Oryctolagus cuniculus: one gene and its partners. The protein of the gene in region 4 binds, or shares a complex with, the protein of the main gene of each other region. Links are inferred from orthologs where the notes say so. Each region holds a gene or a part of one and is shown on either strand. Other genes may lie near its edges. The genes, in order: ELAVL4, Y-box-binding protein 1, HNRNPU, IGF2BP1 and G3BP1.

Region 1 (4,708 bases), on a different chromosome or scaffold from region 4:
TATTATTTTGAAGATTCAGTTAGGTGGCATGGCCAAGGAATGAGGTTTCCTGGTTAATACATATTTTGGTTAATAGGACAACATGTACCATGCACACATTCGTTAGTTTCCAAAGATACAGAATATAATGCTTCATATTAAATCTAAAACAATCAGAACTTATCCTTTCTTTAATGCTTTGGAGGATAATAGCCTGTTATTTTTCTTTTGGCTAATATAGAGTTGACTGTCAGCAAGAACAGTGATTCTCAAACTTTTCTGGTCATGAACCAACAAGTGAAAAAAAAGAAAAAAGTAAGATATTTTGAACGCAGCAGCTTCAAATCACAACTTAGAACGAAAGGTAACTGAAACAGAAGATTCATGAAATAAAAATACTTACTTTAAGGTAAGTACCATTCAACGATATTTTCTTTTCTGTTTCAGTCCATTCTATCATTGCATTGTTTTAATGTTTTTTAAATGCTGGTTCAGACCCAATAAAACAACTATAAGCAAAACCACAACCTAATATTGCTATTCTGTTCACTAACATGTATTAAAGATACAGTTCAACTGAGCCTGTGATTAAGCTCTGAAGTTTTATTAATTCTATTTTACATTAAGAAACCGAATCTCAGGGGCTGGCACTGTGGTGTAACAGGTTAAAACCCTGGCCTGAACCACTGGCATCCCATTTGGGTGCTAGTTTTAGCCCTGGCTGCTCCTCTTCCAATCCAGCTCTCTGCTATGGCCTGGGAAAGCAGAAGATGGTCCAAGTCCGTGGGACTCTGCATGCACATGGGAGACCCGAAGGAAGCTCTTGGCTTCGGATCAGCGCAGCTCTGGCTGTTGCGGCCATCTGGGGAGTGAACCAGCAGATGGAAGACCTCTCTCTGTGTCTCTACATCTCTCTGTAACTCTTTCAAATAAATAAAAAATAAATCTTAAAAAAAAAAAGAAACTGAATCTCAGAAAGTATAGGTGACTTGGGCTAAATGGACTCCCAAAAGTCAATGACAGATCTAAGATTCACAAGTTTTCTAACTCTGAAGTTAAGGAAACTTAAAAAACAACCCCCACCCCCCATAAAAGCCAAATTATGATATTATGATTATGATAAATCAACTCAATAAATGCATACTGAGTATTCACTATGTACCAGACACTGAAATAAGAAGGCATTTGACACAATCTTTGCCCTCCAATGCTAACTGAAGGTCATCAGATAAGACCTAACTTAGAGGTCAGAGTGTTGTGGTCAAGTCACTGCTTGGGATGCCTGCATCACATATCAAAGTGCTGGTTCAATTCCTGGCTGCTTCACTTCTAATTGAGCTTCCTAATATGCCCAGGAAGTCAGTGAAGATGGCTTAAGTACATGGGCTCCTGCCGCCCATGTGGGAGACCAGGATGGCATTGCTGGCTCCTGGCTTTGGTCTGGCCCAGCCAAGGCTGTTACAGGTATTTATGGAGTGAATCAGCAGCTAGATCTCTCTCTGCCTCTCTGCCTTCCAAATAAAATGAAAACAAATAATTTTTAAAAATACCAAAATCAGAAAAGTTAAGTGACTTAGTACACATACTTGTAAATCTAAAGTGGGTATTTTATATATTATTTATTTATTTATTTGAAAGGCAGAGTTACAGAGGCAGAGGCAGCGAGAGAAACAGGTCTTCCATCCATTGGTTCACTCCCCAAACAGCCACAGTGGCTGGTGCTGGGCCAGTTGGAAGCCAGGAACCTGGAGCTTTTTCCAGGTCTCCCACGTGGGTTCAGGGGCCCAAGAACTTGGCCAATTTTCTACTGCTTTCCCAGGACATAGCAGAGAGCTGGATTGGAAGTGGAGCAGCCAGGAGTCAAACCAGCGCACATACGGGATACTGGCATCGCAAGCGGCAGCTTTACATGCTACACCAGTGCTGGGCCCTAAAGCGGGTATTTTTTAATATAGGGGGAAATAAGCTAATTCCGCACCCACTACCACCTTCTCTTTGACCATCATTTACTCTACAGAATGAGCACTGGTAACTGTTGGCTAGAGCACACAGTGTACTCTTCTAATGGCACATTTCTTTACCATCTGAATAAAAGTTGGTATCTTTCATTCTAGTGCTTTCTGACAAGTAACCCTAAAAGTAGTCCTCAATGTGACTTCACCAATGATTGTCATCATCGTAACATCACAGTATGTTCAGAAGAATGCTCTAATGCCAATTCTTAGCTCTCTAAGTAACTGATATTTACTTTAGAAAAGTCTTTAGGATGCTTTTACTTCTGAGATATTGTCACTTAATAAAAAGAGAGGTCTAGCCCCTGAGAAACAACCAGGAAACAACAGTCCTTGATCTAAAACATTTCATAGCTACTAATCCAAAGTAGAAACCAAGTTAAAATACTGAACCTTCCTAAACCATAACTTTTACAACTGTCTCTCTAGCTTTACCTTTACACAGCCTATATTGCATTCACACCAAGCTACTTACAATTCCTTAAACAAGCCTTGTTAAGTTCCCATCTCTATGCCTTCATTAATACTATTCCTTCTATGTTGAATCCACCTTGCTTATAATTCTTCTGCTAATCCAGCTTCCTGGCTCAACTCAAAAGGTATTTCCTCCATAAAGCCTTGTCTTCTTCTTCTAACAAGTATCTCCCTCTTCTGTATATTGTACCATCTCTGCCAAAACACTGCCTACATTTTGTTTGTCATTATCCTTATTGATACTCATATTTTAATACATATTATAATATCTATTAAATAACATGACATTCTAGGAGGCAACTAGATTGTGCTTCCTATACAACAAACATACAATATACATTTCCTGAAACTGCATGGAAAATTTAGATCTAGAAAGGGAATTACCTTTTGTTCCTTTACCCAAGACAGGCGAACTTTGGCCAACCTGGACATATTCCCAGATACTCTGGAGTGAAGACTTTTCATATTGTTAAATATTTAACCTGAAGCAAGCAGTTGAGTTTTATTTTTGAAAAAAGGGGTTAACAGTACCTGTCTTAGTTACATTAACAAGATCAAACTGACAACATAGAGCAAATATTATATAAGGCTAAGTGAATATGAGATATGATCTCTATGGTCACAAATCTGTTAGAACAATCAAAGTTCTAGAATGTAAACTGCTCCTCTGTTCTAGGAAAACTGACACAACCTGAAGTATACCTCAGGAAGTGTACTGTCAAGATTACACCAACCCATGTCTCCAAAATTCACTAACTAGAGATCTTTTTAAGAGTTCTTAGTAAAGCTCTTCTAAACTTGAAGTTTTTCCTTCTTGTGGCAAATCTTAAGCCAGAAATATAAATTCAAGATTCAAGTACTGTCTTAAATATAGATGAAGTTCCAATTTTTTAAAAATATAAACACCTACCTAGCAACACAATCCTAAGAATATACATCTGCTTCTTATTTTGCCCATTTGCCTGCTCAAATCACTCACCCAATTATCTCCTTTTGGCCCTTCATTAATAGAATTGGATTTTTCTAGTCTAAAATCTAGAGAAGTATCTCCTATACTTTCCTTTCTCCAAAATGTAGCCTTCTCCCTTTTTATAAATATATTTCTTCCCATATAAGCATAGTCTAAAACTAAGAAAATACCTTCTAAGAGCTTGTATACCACACACAAAACCTACACACATAAACCTGCAAAACCTTTTATGATTTTTGGTGAAGCTTTGAAATACATAGACTCATGTGGAAAGAGAAAAGTCCTGTTATCTATTTCATAATAAAAGTTGTTTGCTTTTTTTTTTTTTTTTTAAAGAAATGAAAGTACAGGGCCTGGAAAACAGCAGTCATGGGATCAGATTAACTTACAACCCTTTCCCATAGGTGAGTTATTCATTTATTTAGAGGCAGAGAGAGAGAGCGAGTGAGCGAGCTCCTATCCACTGGTTTACTGTCCAAATGTCCACAATGGCCCAGACTGGGCGGGGGCTAGAGCCAGAAGCTGGAAACATAATCCAGGTAGCCCCTGTGGGTGATAGGAGTCCAACTACTTGAGCCATCACCACCACCTCTCAGGTTCCGCAGTGGTGGGAAACTAGAGTCAAGAGCTGGAGCTGAGAGATGAACCCAGGCACTCTAATGTGGGATGCAGATGTTGTACCTGCTAGGCTGAACACCTACTTCCTCTAAGGATTAAATTGAAGAAAAGAAGTAACTCCCACTCACATCCTTTCCATGACTGTATATGAAGTGAAATTCAAAATCTGTGACAGTAAACGATGTTCTAAGATTGTGTTTTCAGTTTAAGTCTTGAACCCCTTCAGGAATAAATTCTTTTTATTTCTCCATTCTTTTTTTTTTGGACAGGCAGAGTGGACAGTGAGAGAGAGAGAGACAGAGAGAAAGGTCTTCCTTTTGCCGTTGGTTCACCCTCCAATGGCCGCCGCAGCCGGCGCATCGCGCTGATCCGAAGGCAGGAGCCAGGTGCTTTTCCTGGCCTCCCATGCGGGTGCAGGGCCCAAGGACTTGGGCCATCCTCCACTGCACTCCCGGGCCATAGCAGAGAGCTGGACTGGAAGAGGGGCAACCAGGACAGAATCCGGTGCCCCGACCGGGACTAGAATCTGGTGTGCTGGCGCCGCTAGGTAGAGGATTAGCCTATTGAGCTGTGGCGCCAGCCTATTTCTCCATTCTTAAAGGTAAAGCAATAGGTCTCAATTTAGAATAATTCGTCAATTTATTTATCACGCTTT
Region 2 (4,124 bases), on a different chromosome or scaffold from region 4:
GTGGAGACGTAAGCTAGCTTGGAATTCTTCAAGTCAGCCCAGGGAGCAAAAGGCGAAAATCTGGAACCAGAGGCAGAGACGTGGGCCGCCAGGTTGGAATCCGTCAGATTAGCCCGGGGAGCAAAAGACGGGAAGCCAAACCGAAAGGCGCAGACGTGAGCTAGGTTGAATTCGCCAAGTTAGCCCAGGGAACTTAGACTGAATACCGGTGGCGGAAACGTGAGCTAGGCTGTGTGATTTGCGGAAGCTGCCGCGCGCAGAGAGAGCGTGCGGGGCACGAATAGATAGGGAACGTGGGGCTAGCGCAAGGCTGTGGTACGGGTGTGAAGGGGAGCGGAGACCGCGGAGCATGCGCGAAGCCGGGAAGTGGCACAGAGCCGGGAAGCCGCTGCGGGGCAAGGTGCCAAGAAGCAGCCTCGGGGCGGGCGCCGGGATGCCGCAGGGATAAGAGAAATAGAAGTATAGAAGTAAAATGAGAGAAATAGGAATGCTGGCAGATAGAAGTAAAATAGGAGAAATAGGAATGCCTGGAGATAGAGAAATAGAAAGGCCTCCCCACAACACGGCAATGAGAGAGCTTGGATTCGGTCTGCCTGATTAGTAAGACGATAAGCACCTGTGAGCGGCTGCATGTCACCGAAGACAGGCACGTTATCAACACCAATAAGTCTCCCCACAAGACGGCGATGATAGGGCTTGGATTCGGTTTGCCTGATTGGTAGGGCTTGTAAGCACCTGCAGGCAGTTCTAGCAGAGCAGAGCATGCGCTGCAGGGCACCGAACACAGGCACGCATCAGCGCCTAAAAACCTCACAACATGGCGAAGAGAGGACCCGGATTCGGTTTGCCTGATTGATAGGACTTGTAAGAACCTGTGGGCAACTCCAGCAAGCAGAGCAGAGTGTGTGCCACGGGGCACCGAAGACAGGCGCGTATCAACGCCAAAAAATAAAAAGAAAGGGGGATCTGTGGGGAGCAACTCAGACTAGACTGTTACTGGAATTAAGACTTATTCTATGCATCTGCTCTCCCACAATATGGCGCTGGGAGAGGAGTAAACAGCTTCTACTCAGCTGCCTCCAGTTCAACCAATAAACAGCAGGACCTGCTCCTGATTGGAGGAGAGCAGCATACTCGGCGTGTGGGTAGCAGAGTTGGGATTGGTGGAAGAGGACTATAAAGGAGGAGAGAGACAACATGCACCAGGAACATCTAAGAGGAACACCTGTGCAGCCCCCGAGAGAGCCGGCTGGCGGTGTGCTGCTCCCCCGCGGAAGTGGGGAAAGTGGCAGGGGGAACCGCCCTTCCACGGAGGTGGGAGGGACGGTAGCCAACCTGGGAAGAACCAGCAGCAAACCCGGGGAGGGCCGAGCAGACAAAAGAACAGCGCAGGGTCTAGTGTCGTTCCTCCACGAAGACGGGGAGCGACATAATGGTGCCGTGACTCGGATATGAAGCCTAGGCAGGGTTTAGTGTCGTTCCTCCATGAAGAGGGGGAGCGACAGTAGGCTGAAACAGTAGTAGATTATTTAGAAATAGAATTAATGTTGTGTAGGATTATTAATAATGCTGATATTTTGATACTTAAAATGGAAGAGCACTAAAGATAAATCATTGTATGAGGCAACCTCAAAGTTCATGGAAAGTGGAATTTAAAGAGAAGTATCTGGGTACAAACATGTTTGAAATGCATGTTTTTAAAAATAATACACATAGTTCGATCGGTAGCGGGAGCGGAGAGCGGACCCCAGAGAGCCCTGAGCAGCCCCACCGCCACCGCCGGCCTAGTTACCATCACACCCCGGGAGGAGCCTCAGCTGCCGCAGCCGGCCCCAGTCACCATCACCGCAACTATGAGCAGCGAGGCCGAGACCCAGCAGCCGCCCGCCGCCCCCGCCCTCAGCGCCGTGGAAACCAAGCCCGGCACCACGGGCAGCGGCGCAGGGAGCGGTGGCCTGGGCAGCCTCACATTGGCGGCGCCCGCCGGCGGGGACAAGAAGGTCATCGCAACGAAGGTTTTGGGAACAGTAAAATGGTTCAATGTAAGAAACGGATATGGTTTCATCAACAGGAATGACACCAAGGAAGATGTATTTGTACACCAGACTGCCATAAAGAAGAATAACCCCAGGAAGTACCTTCGCAGTGTAGGAGATGGAGAGACTGTGGAGTTTGATGTTGTTGAAGGAGAAAAGGGTGCGGAGGCAGCAAATGTTACAGGTCCTGGTGGAGTTCCAGTGCAAGGCAGTAAATATGCAGCAGACCGTAACCATTATAGACGCTACCCATGTCGTAGGGGTCCTCCACGCAATTACCAGCAGAATTACCAGAATAGTGAGAGTGGGGAAAAGAATGAGGGATCGGAGAGCGCTCCCGAAGGCCAGGCCCAACAACGCCGGCCCTACCGCAGGCGAAGGTTCCCACCTTACTACATGCGGAGACCCTATGGGCGTCGACCACAGTATTCCAACCCTCCTGTGCAGGGAGAAGTGATGGAAGGTGCTGACAACCAGGGTGCAGGAGAACAAGGTAGACCAGTGAGACAGAATATGTATCGGGGTTATAGACCACGATTCCGCAGAGGTCCTCCTCGCCAAAGACAGCCTAGAGAGGACGGCAATGAAGAAGACAAGGAAAACCAAGGAGATGAGACCCAGGGTCAGCAGCCACCTCAGCGTTGGTACCGCCGCAACTTCAACTACTGACGCAGACGCCCAGATAACCCTAAACCACAAGATGGCAAAGAGACAAAAGCAGCCGATCCACCAGCTGAGAATTCGTCCGCTCCCGAGGCTGAGCAGGGCGGGGCTGAGTAAATGCCGGCTTAACATCTCTACCATCATCCGGTTTAGTCATCCAACAAGAAGAAATGAATATGAAATTCCAGCAATAAGAAATGAACAAAAGATTGGAGCTGAAGACCTTAAGTGCTTGCTTTTTGCCCATTGACCAGATTACTAGAACTATCTGCATTATCTATGCAGCATGGGGTTTTTATTATTTTTACCTAAAGATGTCTCTTTTTGGTAACGACAAACGTGTTTTTTAAAAAAGCCTGGTTTTTCTCAATACACCTTTAAAGGTTTTTAAATTGTTTCATATCTGGTCAAGTTGAGATTTTTAAGAACTTCATTTTTAATTTGTAATAAAAGTTTACAACTTGATTTTTTCAAAAAAGTCAACAAACTGCAAGCACCTGCTAATAAAGGTCTTAAATAAAAAAAAAATAATACACATTATCCATGAACTTTTTGAAGATCCTTTGTACAGAAGCACAGGGTGGTAGTTGAGGGTATGAGTTTGAACCCTTCCTCCCACTCTTGGTAGTGTGATGTTTGTGTCCTTGTTTCAGATTCCCCATTTGTAAAGTTGGAATGATGATAATACATATTTCATTGTGATGTCATGTGTAAGAATTGTGAATAGTAAGTGTATCATAATTATTAGGGATTAAAGAGTAACTTTTCCTCTAAGTTATGCTTGCTAATATGTCAGTTGGGCTATATTTTTCTGCTGCAGTTATTAAAAGGACTTGTGTAGAGCTTTTGTAGGATTTTGAAGAAGGAATAAAGATCCCTCGCAGAGACCTTGAACCTAGAATCAAGCTCACAGTGACCCGGTTTTTGTAGAGTTCTGAGGTCCACTAGTGAGTCAGGATCAACCTAGATTTATGAAATTGCAGCCATGGAGTGTGACACTACTCCCTAAGAACATTTATCTCTGTGTTGAACTTCATACTAGACTAGAATTAAATAGAATAGAAGTAAAATAATAGAGGACAGAAGTGGTTGGCCTTTGTAGGCTGTTATTGTGTATGAACTAAAGAGCGTGATTATTAGTGGTCATTGGATTTGGATAAGCCAGTCTGAGACCATGATACTAAATTTTTTTTTCAAAATAAAATATTTTGATAATTTTGATGTTTAATACATTTTACTCTTGCTTGCCACCGTACAGGCTGGAGGAAAGGTCTTGGGAATTTTGTGCTTTCACATCCTGTGTGACCTTTAAAACTTGGCATTTTACTTTTCACTACCCAAAATTACTTGCACGTCTATTAAATTTCTAAATATCAGTTATCATTAAGAAACGCCACCACCATGCTTAATTACTTGTGTAATCAA
Region 3 (4,983 bases), on a different chromosome or scaffold from region 4:
GTAACTTGAAGCAACTGATTTTGACATCAAAATTTCAAGCCACCTTTTCCATATGCATTTTTTTCCCAAAGACTCAACTCTTAACTACCTGTACAGGGTATTCAAGTAAGAAATCAGAGGTATCACCATTTATCACCTGAATCAACAATCTGTACAAGGAAGCATCCGAATCTAACTTCCGCCTTACCAGAGCAACTTGACATTTTAACTTTTCAAGTACGATTTCTACTCTTGGTTCTATTTCACACTGGAAAGACTGGTGCATCCTATTCTGATCAAACGCTAACCCAACGTAATTTAAGTAAAATCTGACAGCCACGGCCCATTTAAAGGTTTGCAATAATTCCGCATACTCGATTGCAACCCAACTGGGTAACGTAGTATTTACAGTGCTGCCATTGATACCATTCGCTGCTGAAGAAAGCTAGTGGCCCAGTGATGGCCCACTGCTGCTGCCCCAGGTCTTTGGAAGAAATCAACTTATGTTAAAGCAGCAGCTACTGAACTGGAATTGAGAACAAAAGAGCAGTTATTGAAATAGTATTACAGTCTTTTAGAATAGGGAATATACTTGAGTGCTAATGGGAAAAGTCATCAGTTAAGTATTTAACCAGCCCAAGTAGCTGACTTAACAATCCCAAAATAAAAGGAAATTACTGTAGGACACGTTAACAGTTTCCATTAGCTAACTAGTCCAAAATTGGCATCAATTTCACATTCAAGAATAAGAAGCTTTAAATTACAATTAAAATTGCCAAAGCCTGTAAAATCAATTCAACACAACTGATGGCATATTAATATTAAACTACTGCACTCTGGGTATCAATCATTATCTTTGCTTTTTAGAAAACTGTACATGTTTTCTGCACTTAGGTTAAACGTACTGCAATCTAACATTGTCAAAAAAACCCAAGGCATTTGAGGACTGCGTGGGGGAGCGGGTGAAACAGCTTCACTTACAAGTATCAAGACAAACCACTGTGTCATCGAAGTGCTCATCTTCTTCTTCAACGGGGGGCTGAGGAGATTTGGCTCTGAAAGACAGAATGGGCTCCTGATACGTCTCTGCCCACCCACGGAGAACGGGCAACAACAACGCACAATCCGTTAGCATCCTCTACCTGCTGTACTTGTTCTCTTCAATGTACTCAAAATATCCACGGCCATGATCTTCTCGAGGTCTTTTTACACCTCGCTTTTTATCTCCGCCTTTCTGCTCTGTTTTGCCGTCTCCTATAACACACGACACTCTCATAAGTGCTCAAGCCACCCAACACCCCCGCCAAAAGAAAAAAAAGCCGCTTTTATTTCAAGTTGCCTAAAAGCATCGAATTAATGAGTTTTGGGTGAATACTGAACCGCCAGGTCGAATGTGAATTCAAACTATCAGCTTGGAATTGGATTGGAGTTAGTGACGCAGCCTAAAGACGTTACTAATTCGGCCCGTCTACCGGAGGCTTCAAGAAAGCTTAAGCGCAACTGCGCGCCGGAGGCCCCGAGCCCACGTGGATCCCGACGAGCGGTCAGGAGGGGGAGGGGCGCGGGGGCGGCGGCCCCTCCCCCACCCGGGCCCGCGCAGCCCGCGGCCGCATTGTACGGATCTTCCGCCCCGCTCGGCGCGCCGGCTCCTCCCGCCGGAAGTGACGTCACGCCGAGCCCCTGCGCTCCTTGCACAATACCGCGGCGAGGAGCCGCCAAAGCGCGCCCGCCCCGGGACCTCGGGCCTCTCCCCTCCCCCCGCCCTGAGCCATGTGCCCGCACCGCGCGCACACACAGCGCGGCGGCGCCACCGCGGGCCGACGGGGCTCCTCCCCCCCTCCCGCGGCAGCTGCAGCTCCCCCGCCCCCACCCCCGCCCCGGCTCCCGAGCCACATAATGGAGGCGCTGCCACCGCCGTCACACACGCACACGCACACACACACCCCGAGCCCCAGGCCTCTCGGCTAATCTGGGATTCCCCGCACCCCTCCCTCCCCCCACCGCCGCCCACCCAGCCACCAGCGGGGGGCTCCGGCAGGCCGGGGGCCCGGTCCCCACCCCACGCGGGCCTCCCGCCGCGCGCAACGTACAACGCAGCACTCACCCGCCGCCGGAGCCCCGGGGCGACCGCCTCCTCCGCCGCCTTCCGCCTTCTTCTTACCTCCCGCCTGCTGCTGGCCCTGCCTCGCCCCGGGCGGCGCCACCGTCACCGCGAACAGCGAGGTGGGGCCGCTGCTCTTCCCCGCGGCCTCCTTGGCCGCCCCGCGCTGCTGCGGAGGCTGTTGCTGCGGCGCCGCCGGCGGTTGAGGCTGCTGCTCCCCGTGCCCGTTCTCGTCGCCCGCGCCCTCCTCCTCGTCGCCGAGCTCGTCCTCCCCTTCCTGGAAGCCCTGATCATCGCCGTTCTCGTCTTCCGAGGCGGCCTCCTCCTCCTCCATCGGGCCCGACTCGGCCGCCCCCGCGGCCCCGTTCTCCTCTCCTAGCTCCATCTGGTCGCCATCCAGGGCGGCGATCCCTTCCTCCTCCTCTTCCTCCTCCTCCTCGTCGTCGTCGCCGCCGGCCGCGGCCTCCTGCTCGAGGCCTGCTCCCGAGCGCCCGGCGGAATCCCCGCCCAGGTCTAGGCTGCCGTTCCCGGGCTCCATGGCGGGGCGGCCCCCGGCCTCCTCGTCGTCCAGCGCAGCCTGGAGTCGCTCCATGAGCTCGGCCTTGAGGCCCTTGTCGGAGAGGCGCCGCTTCTTGAGCTCCTCTTTCAGCTCAGACACCTTCAGCTTTTTTACATTAACAGGCGAGGAACTCATGATGAGGGCCCCGATTCGCGGCAGGGAGCTTGGCTCGGACTGGGCTCCGCTCACTCGGCCACTGGTAGCGGCTGCTGCGGCTGCTCCTCGGTCCGGGCGGCGGCTGCGGCTGGAGGTGGGTTCGTGCTGCAGAGAGGACCCGCCTGGTGTCGAACGGCGCCAATTCCTTTCACCGAGTTCGCGAGGGAGACGCGGAGACTCGCCTGGCGCGAGCGAGCACGCAACGTCCTCTCGCAGGGGCGGCGCCGCGCACGTAATATAGCCGCCCCGCCCCCCGCGCTGACGGGCGCGCCGCGCAGCAGGAAGGCGGGAGCGCGCTCGCGCTCGGCCCCGCCCAGCACCGTCCCTGCCTCCCCGCCCCCACGCCGAGGCCCGGGTCGGGAGCGCGGCACAGGCCGCGCAGTGCGCTTCCTATTGGGTGCCGAGCAAATGGAGGAGAAGGAAACCGCCTTTCGGTTTAACCGGCCCGCTGCAAAGTCCACTGGGTTTCTGCCGAGGGAGCTCGTTCTGCTCTTGGCCTCCCAGCCTGGGCGGCTGCTCGGCTTGAAATGCTAGCAGAGCTCAGCTTGGCGTTTTCAGCTCGAACCCCTCCACCTTTTCTTCCATCTTAGTATTGCCGTCCTGGGTGCCCCTCCTGCTATACCGTTTTAAAACGCCTCGGGATTTTATTTCCGCTCTGGCTTGTCTAACCCAGCCTGGCAGTCAGCACACGGAGAGTTGGTTCGTCCCTTCTTCCCCCCCTCTCCCCCCCCACCTCCGGCCTCGTATCTCCTTTCATTTTTCTAAGCCGGCCTGGCGAATGGCCTTTTAAATTCGGGAAGCCTTTCTTTTGTGTCTTCGGCAGCCCCCGGTGCGGGGCCTGGGAAAGCGGCTTCTCCCCTCCTCCGGTCTGCATCCGCAAAGCGCGCTCTTCGCGGCAGCCACACGCATGGCGTCAGTGGCCTTGCAGAGGCCTCTGTGGGGCCTGATGTTTGTCATTCAGGCCCGGGCGTGCGGTGAGGAGGGCGAAGCGCAGCTAGGACCTGCCACCCGTGGATTTTCTCCCTGTCCCCGCGGGGACCCAATGGTGCCCAAACCAAAGGCTCCTGAGATGGAACAGGGCGACAGTCTGGCAGACGGGCCATGAGAGACCTCGCTCTCAAAAAGAAATCCGTGATTGGATCGTGGTTGAAGTTTGAGAGTGGCAATCCGGGGTAGCATCCTAATCCCCCAGCGTCCCCACAGTGCCAGGCCAGCGATCCCCGTGGGAATGAGGAAAGAGACCTGCTGCACAAAAAGACTGCTGTGCTATTGATTTGAAATGTGGAAGTACAGAAATGCAAATCTTGTCCCGTAGGCTGAGGTGATGTAACTGATCCACAAATGTTCGTTTTTAAAAGCTGCTTTTCAACAGTTTTTAAGAAATGTGTCTTACCCTGTATTCAGGCATAAGGTGAAATACTGACATCCGTGAGATTATTTGAGTTGAGATTAATAGTGTGCAGTACTGGTAATCCTCAAATTAACAGAGGGGACTAGGACAGCCCGGAAGTAGAAGCGTCCAAATAGTGTCAGAAATTCACTTGGCCTTTGGCTATGTTGCTGAAGCTTGCCAACAAGCCACAGACGAATTTGAACTCTTCCTTGCTCTCATTCAGAATTGGGAAGAGAGCTGCAGGGGGCTTCGATGTTCTCCAACTGGGTAATTAATGAATCAGAGTTAAGTGCAATTATGTCGATGGTCCTCTAATGTGTATGTGTCCTCAGATTTAATTTATGTTTTTAAATTTTAGTCAGAAGGAAACAATTTCCATTTAACACAGAAAAAACTATGAAAACCAAGCTTATATAAGCATAATAGAGTTTTACATTGTTCTTAGATGATTATTAAACCATTTATATTAATAAATGAATTACTACTTCTGGTACACATGAGAAGTTTCCATGACTTCATCTCCCAGAGCTTTGCAGAGGGTTGAGAGTTGGATGGGTCAGATCACCCCCAGCCTGCTCGTTTTAGAGCTGTGGCATAGCTAAGTCACCTTCTGCAACAGTGGCATCCCACTGGGGTTCTGATTCAAGTCCCACTGTTCCCCTTCTGATCCAGCTCCTTGTTACCCGCCTGGGAAAGCAGAAAGATGGCCCAAGTACTTGTGCCTCTGCACCCACATGGAAGACCCAGATGGGGCTCCTGACTCTTGAATTTGGCCTGGCCCAGCCCTGGTTGTTG
Region 4 (4,206 bases):
TACCGACATCCCTGCCACCCATATGCGAGACCCAGAGGCGGCGGTCCTGGGCTCCCGGCTTCCCCTGGCTGTTGCTGAGTCTCGGGGAGTCGCCCACACAGGGCCCTGCGGGGCACTCACGCTCATGGCGGCCACGTCGTTTTCATAGGCCTCTCGCACTTTCTTCATGATTTCCTGCTCGGCCCTGCAGCAGTTCTCGATGGCCCCTTTCACGGTGATGGTCCTCTCGGGGTTGTAGAGGGTCAGGTCCTGCAACCTGCAAGGAAGAGCACAGCGGGGTCAACCCCCACCCGCTGGCCAGCAGGCCCAGACGCCAGAACCGGGAGCTACAAGTCCAGCGTCTCAGTGGGCTGTGTAACTTCTGCCATATAATCCCGCCTCCAGCCTGGGGCGTCCCTGGTTGTCCCGGGGAGGGGCGGGGAGATGAGGTCTCCCACAGGAAGCCCCTCTACTTGCAACATGTGCAGTCCTGCCCAGGGCAGTGGGGTGGCAAGAGCGCAGCTCTCACGGCCGTTAAGAGAAGGACTCCTTGCACGTCCGCGACTGTTCTGCATCCAGTGTGGGGTGTGTGCCGGAAGGTCCCCCGCCCCTCCGGGACAGCGTCTTACGAGGAGATGGTGATTTTCGTCTCTGTGTCCTGCTCCACCTTCTTCAGGTTCCGCCCCTCCTTGCCGATGAGTCGGCCAACGAAGTTGTTGTGCGCCAGGATCTTCAGGGGGACCTCGTCAGCCCTGGGGAGGCGTGGGAACATGAGCGCCATCAGCGGTGGACACACAGACCCAACCATCGTGCCACGCCAGTGTGGGTTTCCCAGGACAAAATGCGAGAAGTGATGGCTCTGGGCCGGCACTGTGGCGTAGCGGGTAAAGGCGCCGCCTCAAATCTCAGCTACTCCACTTCTGATCCAGCTCTCTGCTATGGCCTAGGAAAGCAGTGGAAGACGGCCCAAGTGCTTGGGCCTCTGAGACCCAGGTGTGGCTCCTGGCTTTGGATCAGCACAGCTCCATCTGTTGCGGCCATCTGGGGAGTGAGCCAGTGGATGGAAGACCTCTCTCTCTGTCTCTCTGTGTCTGTCTCTGCTTCTCTGTAACTGTCTTTCAAATAAATGAATAAATATTTAAAAAGAAAAAAAAAACAAGGAGAAGTGATGGCTCAGCAGGCCCAGGTGGCTTTGCGACAGAGATATGGCGGTGAGGATGAGAGGTTGAGGGGGTTCAAGGACACTTGGGGTGCTGACTTCGTGGCACGGTGGTATAAGCCGCTGACGGGGACGACGGCAAGCTATCACAGTGCTGGAGTCCCGGCTGCCCAGCTTTGATCCAGCTTCCTGCGCGTGCACCCGGGGAAGGCAGCAGGTGCTGGCTCAGCCTCTGAGCCCGTTACTCACGTGGGAAATCCAAATGGAATTCCTGGCTCCTGGCTTCAACCTGGCACAGCCGCGGTTATTGCGAGCATTTGGGGAGCAAACCGGTGGGTAGAGATCCTTCCCTCTATGTGTCTCTCTCTCCTCTCTAAATCTTTCACTCTGCTTTTAAATAAATATTTCTTTAAATGTGTGACTTACTGTCTACGAACTGACCTCAATAATGCTGTAAAAAAGGCCAAAAGCGTAAATAAACATAGGAGTAATGAAGCACGCCTGCTGTTTTACTTTAACTTATTTCAAAAGCAGAGGCAGAGAGATCTCCCATCTGTGGCTTCACTCCCCGAACTGCCAGAGCTGGGCTCTGTGGAGTCAGGAGACCGGAACTCCATCCCGGTTTCCCACATGGACCCAGAGACCTGCGCCGCATTCATGAAGCTGGCGTGAGAAGTGGAGTCTGGGCTGGAACCCATTCCACTAGGAAGTGGGAACCCAATCAGCGTCTTAACCACAGCTCCAAGTGCCCTCGCCCTCCCCTCGTAACCAGGGAGAACGGAGACAACACAAACACCCATCAAGAACCAGGAGACTACTTAAGGGAGCACACACCAGCCCACTATGCCAAGGACAAAACGAGGTGTGTCCACAGGCTCCAGGACACGGGTGTTGGTACAGAGAGCGAAATGTGGACAGAACAACATACCTGGCATCACGTGATCTTCCGTGCCAGAACACCTGCGCACACACCCACACGCACCCCCCTGGGAGCACAGAATTTCTGGGAGACCCCACAGTGGGTCTAAGGAGGATTTCACTTAGTCTACGTCCCTGTCTCCAGGAATTCTGCACCAGGATCTGCGTGGGGAGAGGGGGCCCAGTCCCTGAGGCCCGGGAGGAGCAGGAGACTCACGTTTTGGTGTCTTTTGCCTCCTTATGCATGATCTCCAAGATCATCTTGCAGGCGGAGGAGCAGCCCTCGGGGGTGGAGTGGATGCTGATGGCCTTCTCGGCGGCGCCCGCGTTCTCCTTCCTGTGCACGTCTATCCTGAGCCGAGCAAGGGCAGAGCCCGTTAGTTCTCGCCAGCGACATCTGCTCTTCCCCTGCCCCCGACACAAAACCACACACTTCAGGAGTCCAAGGAACAGAACCTGTTCTTCTAGAAACAAGGCTGACACAAGGCAGCCCTGGGGGGCTGGCCTCGTGGTGCAGCAGGTTAAGCCGCTGATTGCGATGCTGCATCCCTGACCGAAGCACCGGCTGCTCCACTTCCAGTCCCTCTCCCTGTGAATGTGCCTGGGAAAGCAGCGGAGGATGACCCATGTGCTTGGGTCCCTGCCGCCCACACGGGAGGCCTGGATGGAGTAATGGGCTCCTAGCTTTGGCCTGGCCCAGCCCTGGCTGTTGTATCCATTTGGGAAGCGAATCAGCGGATGAAAGATCTCTCTATGTCTCTCTGTCTTTCAAAAAAATAAAAATAAATTATATCAATCATATATATATATATAAATCATATATACATAGAAAGAGATTTGAAAAGGGCCAAGGCAGGGCCAGAGAGAGAGCTGTGGCCAGCCTGTCTTTGCAGTGTCTGGATCCAGATACGGCTGGGTACAGAATGTCACGTATCACACAACACTGGCTCCATGTCCGCTGGAACACTGTGTGCCCCCCTCGAAACAACAGAAACAGCAGCCACCTTGTCCCCAGCTAAAAGTAGATACAGAATTTATGATGAGGAGGACTTAATGTGACCTGTTCTTTCCCACTGAGTACACTGATCAGCTATAAAGATTAGAGAAAGGAATTCAAAGGGGTGGAAAAGGAGGCAGGACATACACTGATGGCCTCTGACCAAGGGCCCTGCCTTTCGGGACAGACAGGCCAGCCCTGTGCCACCACTACGTGGTCGTGAAACCACCGACACCAGTACTGACTCCCCAGTGCCTCCTGCGACATCTCGCTGGTGGCGGTGCATGGCCAAGCCACTGGCACCCATGCTGCACCCCAGGCCCATTCTCCTTCCCCACCGGCCAGGCCCTCCCAGGGACCCCGAGGACCCAAGGGTGCAGGGCAACTTCTGCCTGAGTCCCGGCCGCTGTCCCCTGCCCCCTGCCCCCGGACTCACTTGGACTGAGTCTGCTTCGTGATGTTGCGGATGGTAGCACCCTCCTTGCCAATGATGGCGCCGACATACTGGGTGGGCACCAGGAGCCGAAGGGGGATGTCCACCTGCTGCTGCTTGGCAGGGGCCCCGGCCGCCACGGGCGAGCCCTGGCGGGGCTGACCCCGGGAGCCGAAGCCTCCACGGCGCCCGTTCTCGGGGCCCTGGGCTATCTGCTCGTCGGGAATGTAGGAGACCTTCAGGGCGTGGTTCTCCAGCTGGTGGCCATTCAGCTTCGTGATGGCTCTGGGGACAGAGGTAGAGGGGACCAGTCACTCCCCCACCATGCCAGTCATATCAGGTGCGCTCCTGGCGCAAAGCACTCTGGGGTACCCCAGCTGGGCACACACTGGGGGGATCCACTGCCCACCACTCCTGCCCTGGGCACCCTTCTGATCTAAACAGCCTGAGACACGGAGAAAGACATGGACTCGGTGACACCCAGCACGGGGCGGGGTGGGCGGTCAGTGGACTTCCAGGCCGGGAACAACCATGGATCTCCCAGGGCACTCCTGCCTTGGCTGCAGGACACACCACACACCTCAGGTGGCTCAAAAAAACCAGACTCCAAAAACTTAAAAAAAAAAAAAATCTGACTCTCTTAGAGCTGGCGCTGTGATGATGATGTAGCAGGTAAAACCGCCGCCTGCATCGCCGGCATCCCACGTGGGTATTGGTTCA
Region 5 (4,896 bases), on a different chromosome or scaffold from region 4:
CTGTACTGTTACTCTTCTATAAACTTAAAAGTTAGTCAGGTTCCTAATTAAGAAATTCCTAAAAACATCAACATCCTACCCTTTAAACCCTGAAGACACAGATGCACAAACCCAACTAAAGGCAAACTCCAAAGAGTCCACAAACACGGGAATACTTAACAGCCTCCAGGACTGCAAAAACAGTGTGGGAGATACCTGGAAGGGCAGGTAGGTACCTCATTCATATCTCCAGATTCTGATTCTGTACGTTTTCTGAATAAGAAAGAGCTGGCTATAGCACCCTATTACTACCACACACTTTATGTTACAATTTAGCTAACTATATAGGATGCATAGCTCTAGTCTTTTTAGTAAAAATACAATACTCAAATTGTGTGAAAGCACTTTTAAAATTTGAAGGCCTATATAAATACCTGATGTTGCCATTACACAGCCATATTATAAGTTAACAACCACCAAAGACCACATCCCTACAAAGCCGATGGGGTCTCACCCAGGAAGTCAGATTTTTCTCTGAAACATTTTTAATCTTTACTTTTCACAGAATGCTGAAGTACAGCAAACATACTAAAAAGCTATGCAATATTATAAAAAACAACCTTATTTACTAGATCACAGCCTGTGATGAAAAAAATGTTAACTGATTTCTGCTCTGTCAGGCAGACTCTTCATTCTTCGTATGTGGACTACTCCTAGCTCACCACACGACCACCTGGCTTGCAATTTAGCCTTCCCAGTGAGGCCCCAGTGGTGTGTAAGAACGCTTCACAAAAGAAGGGTCAACGAGAAAGCTGACTTTTCAAAAAGATATAAAGCTGGTTAACAGCCACAATGTGATCCCTAACTGTGAGTGAGATTACAGTTGCTGAATCTAAATTTAACTCCAGGACTTGGAAGGACAGTACAGGTTTCCCTCAGCTGACTAGTGGTGGGGGGTGGAAGGACTTTTTTTTTTTTGACAAATGTACTTTGATAATTGTCCTCCTTTGTAAAGTCAATACAATTCTGTCCAAGGAAGTCAAAAAGCACAATGTAATTACATATATACAGATACAGTACCTATTTGAATTCTGTAATTAAAAAAAAAACTATTGTGCAAAAATGTTAAAAGATCAAGTATGCAGTTTTATTATGACAAAAATACTTATTTTAGTAATTGGTCTTATATGAAATTTCAACACCATCACAAATCTATGAAAATTTAAAACTAATCTGTGTTCTTTACTTCCTAAATAAAGTACTGAAATAAATTTTGAAAACCCAAAAGATAAATTAACACGGGTCACAAACAAAATCAAAATCTCCCAATGTCGCCCCCACCCCACCTACCAGCTAAGAGTTAAACAATGACCCACATACTTTTCTACCTGTGAGAAGAGGTACAAAGCTTAGACTGAAAGGACTCAACTCCAAGAAAAGTAACCTATACCTTGATCCAGAAGTGGGGAGACACAGGTATTGTGTTATCACAATTTCTTCAGTTTACCAGTACTAGATAAAAGGCACAAATCAGCAGCTGGGGTACTGATTTGCAAAATAATCACATAGTATTCCAGACCAACAAGACCACTTCTTGCCTGAGGTCAAGAACAACTTTTTTAGTATTTGAAGGTAAAATTTACAAAATTTTCCTCAATACGTAAGATCATTTCATTCTGATATATTTATTTTACCTCAAGCAATAATGTTCACTGAACTCTGTTTAAATGTACGTCATTATCATGTTTGAACATCAGGCGATTTAAATGGTTCACCTTAAATCTTAACATGCTACAAATGCAGGTAACTGGAATTGCTACACAAAGCACGCTGCAAATAAAACAATGTTACATTTTAAAGCAACGTGTTATTTATAGCAACACCAACAAAGGAAGAACTTGTCCCTACAATTATTTTGATCCTTTATTGCTACCTTCTGTTAAGAAACAGGGAAAGCGCCTGTCGTAGAGAAACACAAATATTAAACTTCGTAATTGTTAATCCCTGCACAAGGATGCACGTTGTGTCTGCTTTGACAGCAAAAAAATCCCTTAAAGATCTGAAAAAGGATCTGTAGAAACAAGCTTTACTGAAAAACAAAACAGTGAAAAGCCTTTCAAGAAAAAAAATTAGTCCAAAGAGCTAATCTTCAAACTTTTTTTAGTTCTGCCTGAAGTTCAGGTATTTGCGATGCAAAATGAATGATACGGGCCTGCAACATTAAAAACATTTCACGAGACCAAGGCATTACTAGCTTTCAATAGTCCACAATATGAGAACACTGCTGTAAAAATAAACTCCAGTCCTTGATGGTAAGGAAGGTTTCTTCCACGACCTTGCACACACCCTGGAGCCTTGCGGACTGAACCCTGCAGACACACTTCCAATACCGACAGTGCGCCTCTCAGCCACAGAACCCCCGCAGGATCACGGTTACATTGTAACCGGTGCTATGTCCTCCACTCCAATTTCTAATTTCAACCCACAGGTGCTGGGGACATTCGAATCTCACTGCTCTGGACCTCATTTTCGGCAACTGATTTTCTTAGACGTCCCTTTTTTTCCCCGAAAATCGGCTGATTTAAACAAAAAAGGGAAAAGTCGAATCACAGCCTCACTTCCCGCTGGCGGGACTTTCCCATCACAATGCTGAGAGCTTAAAGCCCGATGAGGAACACACGCACTTATCTGCATTTTACTCGGTCCCCCCGCCCCTCTAATTTTCTCTGAAGCTGCAACGGTACGAATACGTGCAGGCACGAAGCCCAAACACCCCTTCCCTTTGTCGCAGCCCCACTCCCAACCCGAGCCCCTGCAAGCCCATGCGCACTCAGGCCCGGCCGCGCTCCGCGCAGGGGCCTTGCGAAGGGACAAGTGCTCCCGGGGCAAAGGTGCCCTGGACTCGCACCGGCTCAGGGGCCCGGAGCCAGCGAGCCACCCTACCCGCCCTTCCGCCCGTGGGCCTGTGCCTTCGTGCCTCTCCTATTCGAAAGGCGGCCGCGACGGCACCCAGCTCTCCGGGCAGACACCCCGCTCGGCACCGTGCGGGCGGGGAGGACCGCGCATCTCCCCCGTCCCCGCAGGCGCCACCAAGGCGCGGCACTTCTGCTTTGCCAGCTCCGAGACTCTCTCTCATGGCACTTTCGTGCTGTCCCCTCCAAGAAAGCCCCCGATGGCGCGTGGCGGGGGCCGGCGCGCAAAGCCAGCCGCACACGCTCCCGGGCAACGCGGGGACCCCGGGCCCGGGAGGTCACGCCGGGACTCGGAGGGCCGCCGCCACCGGCTGCTCTTGCCCCGCGTGGCCGTTGGACGCGCGCGCGGCGGACGCGGCCACGCGCTCCAGCCGGTGGGGGGGGGGGGGGGGGGGAGGCGGCGCCGCGCGCCCGAACGCCCGCCGCGCGCGCCTGCGGCCGTTGGGGTGGGGGTGGGGGGACGCGCCCCGCGCGGCAGCTCCTCGGGTTTCTCCTCTCTCCCGCCGTCGCCCCGACTCGTCCCCGTCCTCCAGTACCCTGCCCCGCCCACACCCCGGCGTACCTGCGCGGCTGAGTGGGAGAGGAACAAGCCTTGCTCCACCGCACGGAGAGAAGCAGAAATCGCTCACGCAACTGCGTCCGCACACACGCGTGCTCCGCCGCCGGTCTATATAATCGCGACTCAGCCTAACTTGTTGCAGCCAGGCCAGGCGAGTGGATGACCAATCCCGACTGCATCCTCTGGGCTCTTCGAACAGCAATTGGATACTGCCTCATGATGGGGGCGTGGCTCTTGATTGGCTTTGACACATACCTATGAGACTGTGAAGATCTCGTTTCCCTAGTAACGGATTGGCACTCAAAGGGCCCAGTAACTGGAAGGCATAGTAGAGAGGAGGGTGGGAAATTCTTTGACTGATACCCATAGTAGCCAATAAATGCTTGGAGATGCTCTCATTGGCTAGCACTCCATCCCCTGGGTGGAGACCCGTTTTCCGTGCAGGAGCGGTTGCTCCACAAGGTGGGGCCCGTGTACTTTGGGGAAGTAAACCCCAAGCAACTAGGAGGTGGGCAACTTGGAGGCCATGGAAGCACCTGGCCAATGGCAACACCGGAATGAGCTGATTGACATGGGGGTTGAACCGCTCTCCAAAGAGACCGAGGCTCAGGGCGGCCTTGCCCTCCGGGGCGATTAAGAGGCGGGCCGGGCTCCGGCTTCTGTCCTCTTTCTTTCGGTTGTTGGGTCCGGCCCCTGGGGTCTCCCTCTCCCGCCTTTTCCGCACAGTCTGGCACCCAGGAAGCCAAGTGGCAAAGTTTCCCTGAATTTAATTCTTCTCCTTATCAAACTCTTTCATGTCCGCGCGCTGCCTGAGGGCACTTGCTGGCCCTTCCCGTGAGTCAGCACTGCCGGCGAGGCGCGCCCGTTGGGAACGCCGGAGCCCGTGGCTAGGCGGCAGGTGGCGACGGCCGCTGGGCGGGAGGACGCGCGCCCCACGCGGGCTCCGGTCCGACTTGGCCCGCGGCACTGCCGCCGAGGAGCGATCGTTGGGCGGGCTGTGGTCAGCCCGCCGGCCTCGCCACCATTGTCACCCCTTGCTCTGGTGGCTGTGGTGCGGGGAGCTTCTGCCTTCACGCCGCCGCGCCGGGTGAAGGTAACTCCTCCTCAGACCCCTCGGGGGCCTGCCCGCCCAGCCCTGCCCTGCCCACGGCGCTCGACCTCGGACCCGGCCCTCTGTTGGCCGCCACGGGCATCGGACACGATAAGAGCCGCGGTTGCAGCGCGCTGGGCGCAGACCCGCCCGGGTCCGTTCTTGCAGCCATGTGACCGGGGGCTGGGGCTCCGTTAGGCTGCGCTGAGACACTGGGAGATGAAGCACGTGGAGCGGCCGTGCTGCGGGAGAGCGACGCCGAGCCGGCCGGCCCAGCGCAGGCGGCGGGGAGAGAC

The links.
Region 1: IGF2BP1 (region 4) and ELAVL4 share a complex: the UniProt entries of both Homo sapiens proteins name them as parts of the TAU mRNP complex. The link is inferred for Oryctolagus cuniculus from reciprocal best matches to the Homo sapiens genes IGF2BP1 and ELAVL4.
Region 2: IGF2BP1 (region 4) and Y-box-binding protein 1 share a complex: the UniProt entries of both Homo sapiens proteins name them as parts of the coding region determinant (CRD)-mediated complex. The link is inferred for Oryctolagus cuniculus from reciprocal best matches to the Homo sapiens genes IGF2BP1 and YBX1.
Region 3: IGF2BP1 (region 4) and HNRNPU share a complex: the UniProt entries of both Homo sapiens proteins name them as parts of the coding region determinant (CRD)-mediated complex. The link is inferred for Oryctolagus cuniculus from reciprocal best matches to the Homo sapiens genes IGF2BP1 and HNRNPU.
Region 5: IGF2BP1 (region 4) and G3BP1 share a complex: the UniProt entries of both Homo sapiens proteins name them as parts of the TAU mRNP complex. The link is inferred for Oryctolagus cuniculus from reciprocal best matches to the Homo sapiens genes IGF2BP1 and G3BP1.

The regions. Positions count from the first base shown.
Region 1 is NC_091438.1:122,750,048-122,754,755, forward strand, and holds the start of ELAVL4 (ELAV-like protein 4), read right to left. Parts: upstream 3,097-4,708; 5' UTR 2,931-3,096; coding exon 2,850-2,930; intron 1-2,849. UniProt on the Homo sapiens protein: RNA-binding protein that is involved in the post-transcriptional regulation of mRNAs. Plays a role in the regulation of mRNA stability, alternative splicing and translation.
Region 2 is NC_091434.1:59,356,606-59,360,729, reverse strand, and holds Y-box-binding protein 1, read left to right. Parts: upstream 1-1,676; 5' UTR 1,677-1,691; coding exon 1,692-2,705; 3' UTR 2,706-3,227; downstream 3,228-4,124. UniProt on the Homo sapiens protein: DNA- and RNA-binding protein involved in various processes, such as translational repression, RNA stabilization, mRNA splicing, DNA repair and transcription regulation.
Region 3 is NC_091444.1:64,895,498-64,900,480, forward strand, and holds the start of HNRNPU (heterogeneous nuclear ribonucleoprotein U), read right to left. Parts: upstream 3,039-4,983; 5' UTR 2,775-3,038; coding exon 2,084-2,774; intron 1,234-2,083; coding exon 1,122-1,233; intron 1,035-1,121; coding exon 961-1,034; intron 1-960. UniProt on the Homo sapiens protein: DNA- and RNA-binding protein involved in several cellular processes such as nuclear chromatin organization, telomere-length regulation, transcription, mRNA alternative splicing and stability, Xist-mediated transcriptional silencing and mitotic cell progression.
Region 4 is NC_091448.1:25,217,291-25,221,496, reverse strand, and holds part of IGF2BP1 (insulin-like growth factor 2 mRNA-binding protein 1), read right to left. Parts: intron 3,772-4,206; coding exon 3,490-3,771; intron 2,409-3,489; coding exon 2,274-2,408; intron 732-2,273; coding exon 609-731; intron 257-608; coding exon 121-256; intron 1-120. UniProt on the Homo sapiens protein: RNA-binding factor that recruits target transcripts to cytoplasmic protein-RNA complexes (mRNPs). This transcript 'caging' into mRNPs allows mRNA transport and transient storage.
Region 5 is NC_091437.1:38,748,689-38,753,584, reverse strand, and holds the start of G3BP1 (ras GTPase-activating protein-binding protein 1), read right to left. Parts: upstream 3,288-4,896; 5' UTR 1-3,287. UniProt on the Homo sapiens protein: Protein involved in various processes, such as stress granule formation and innate immunity. Plays an essential role in stress granule formation.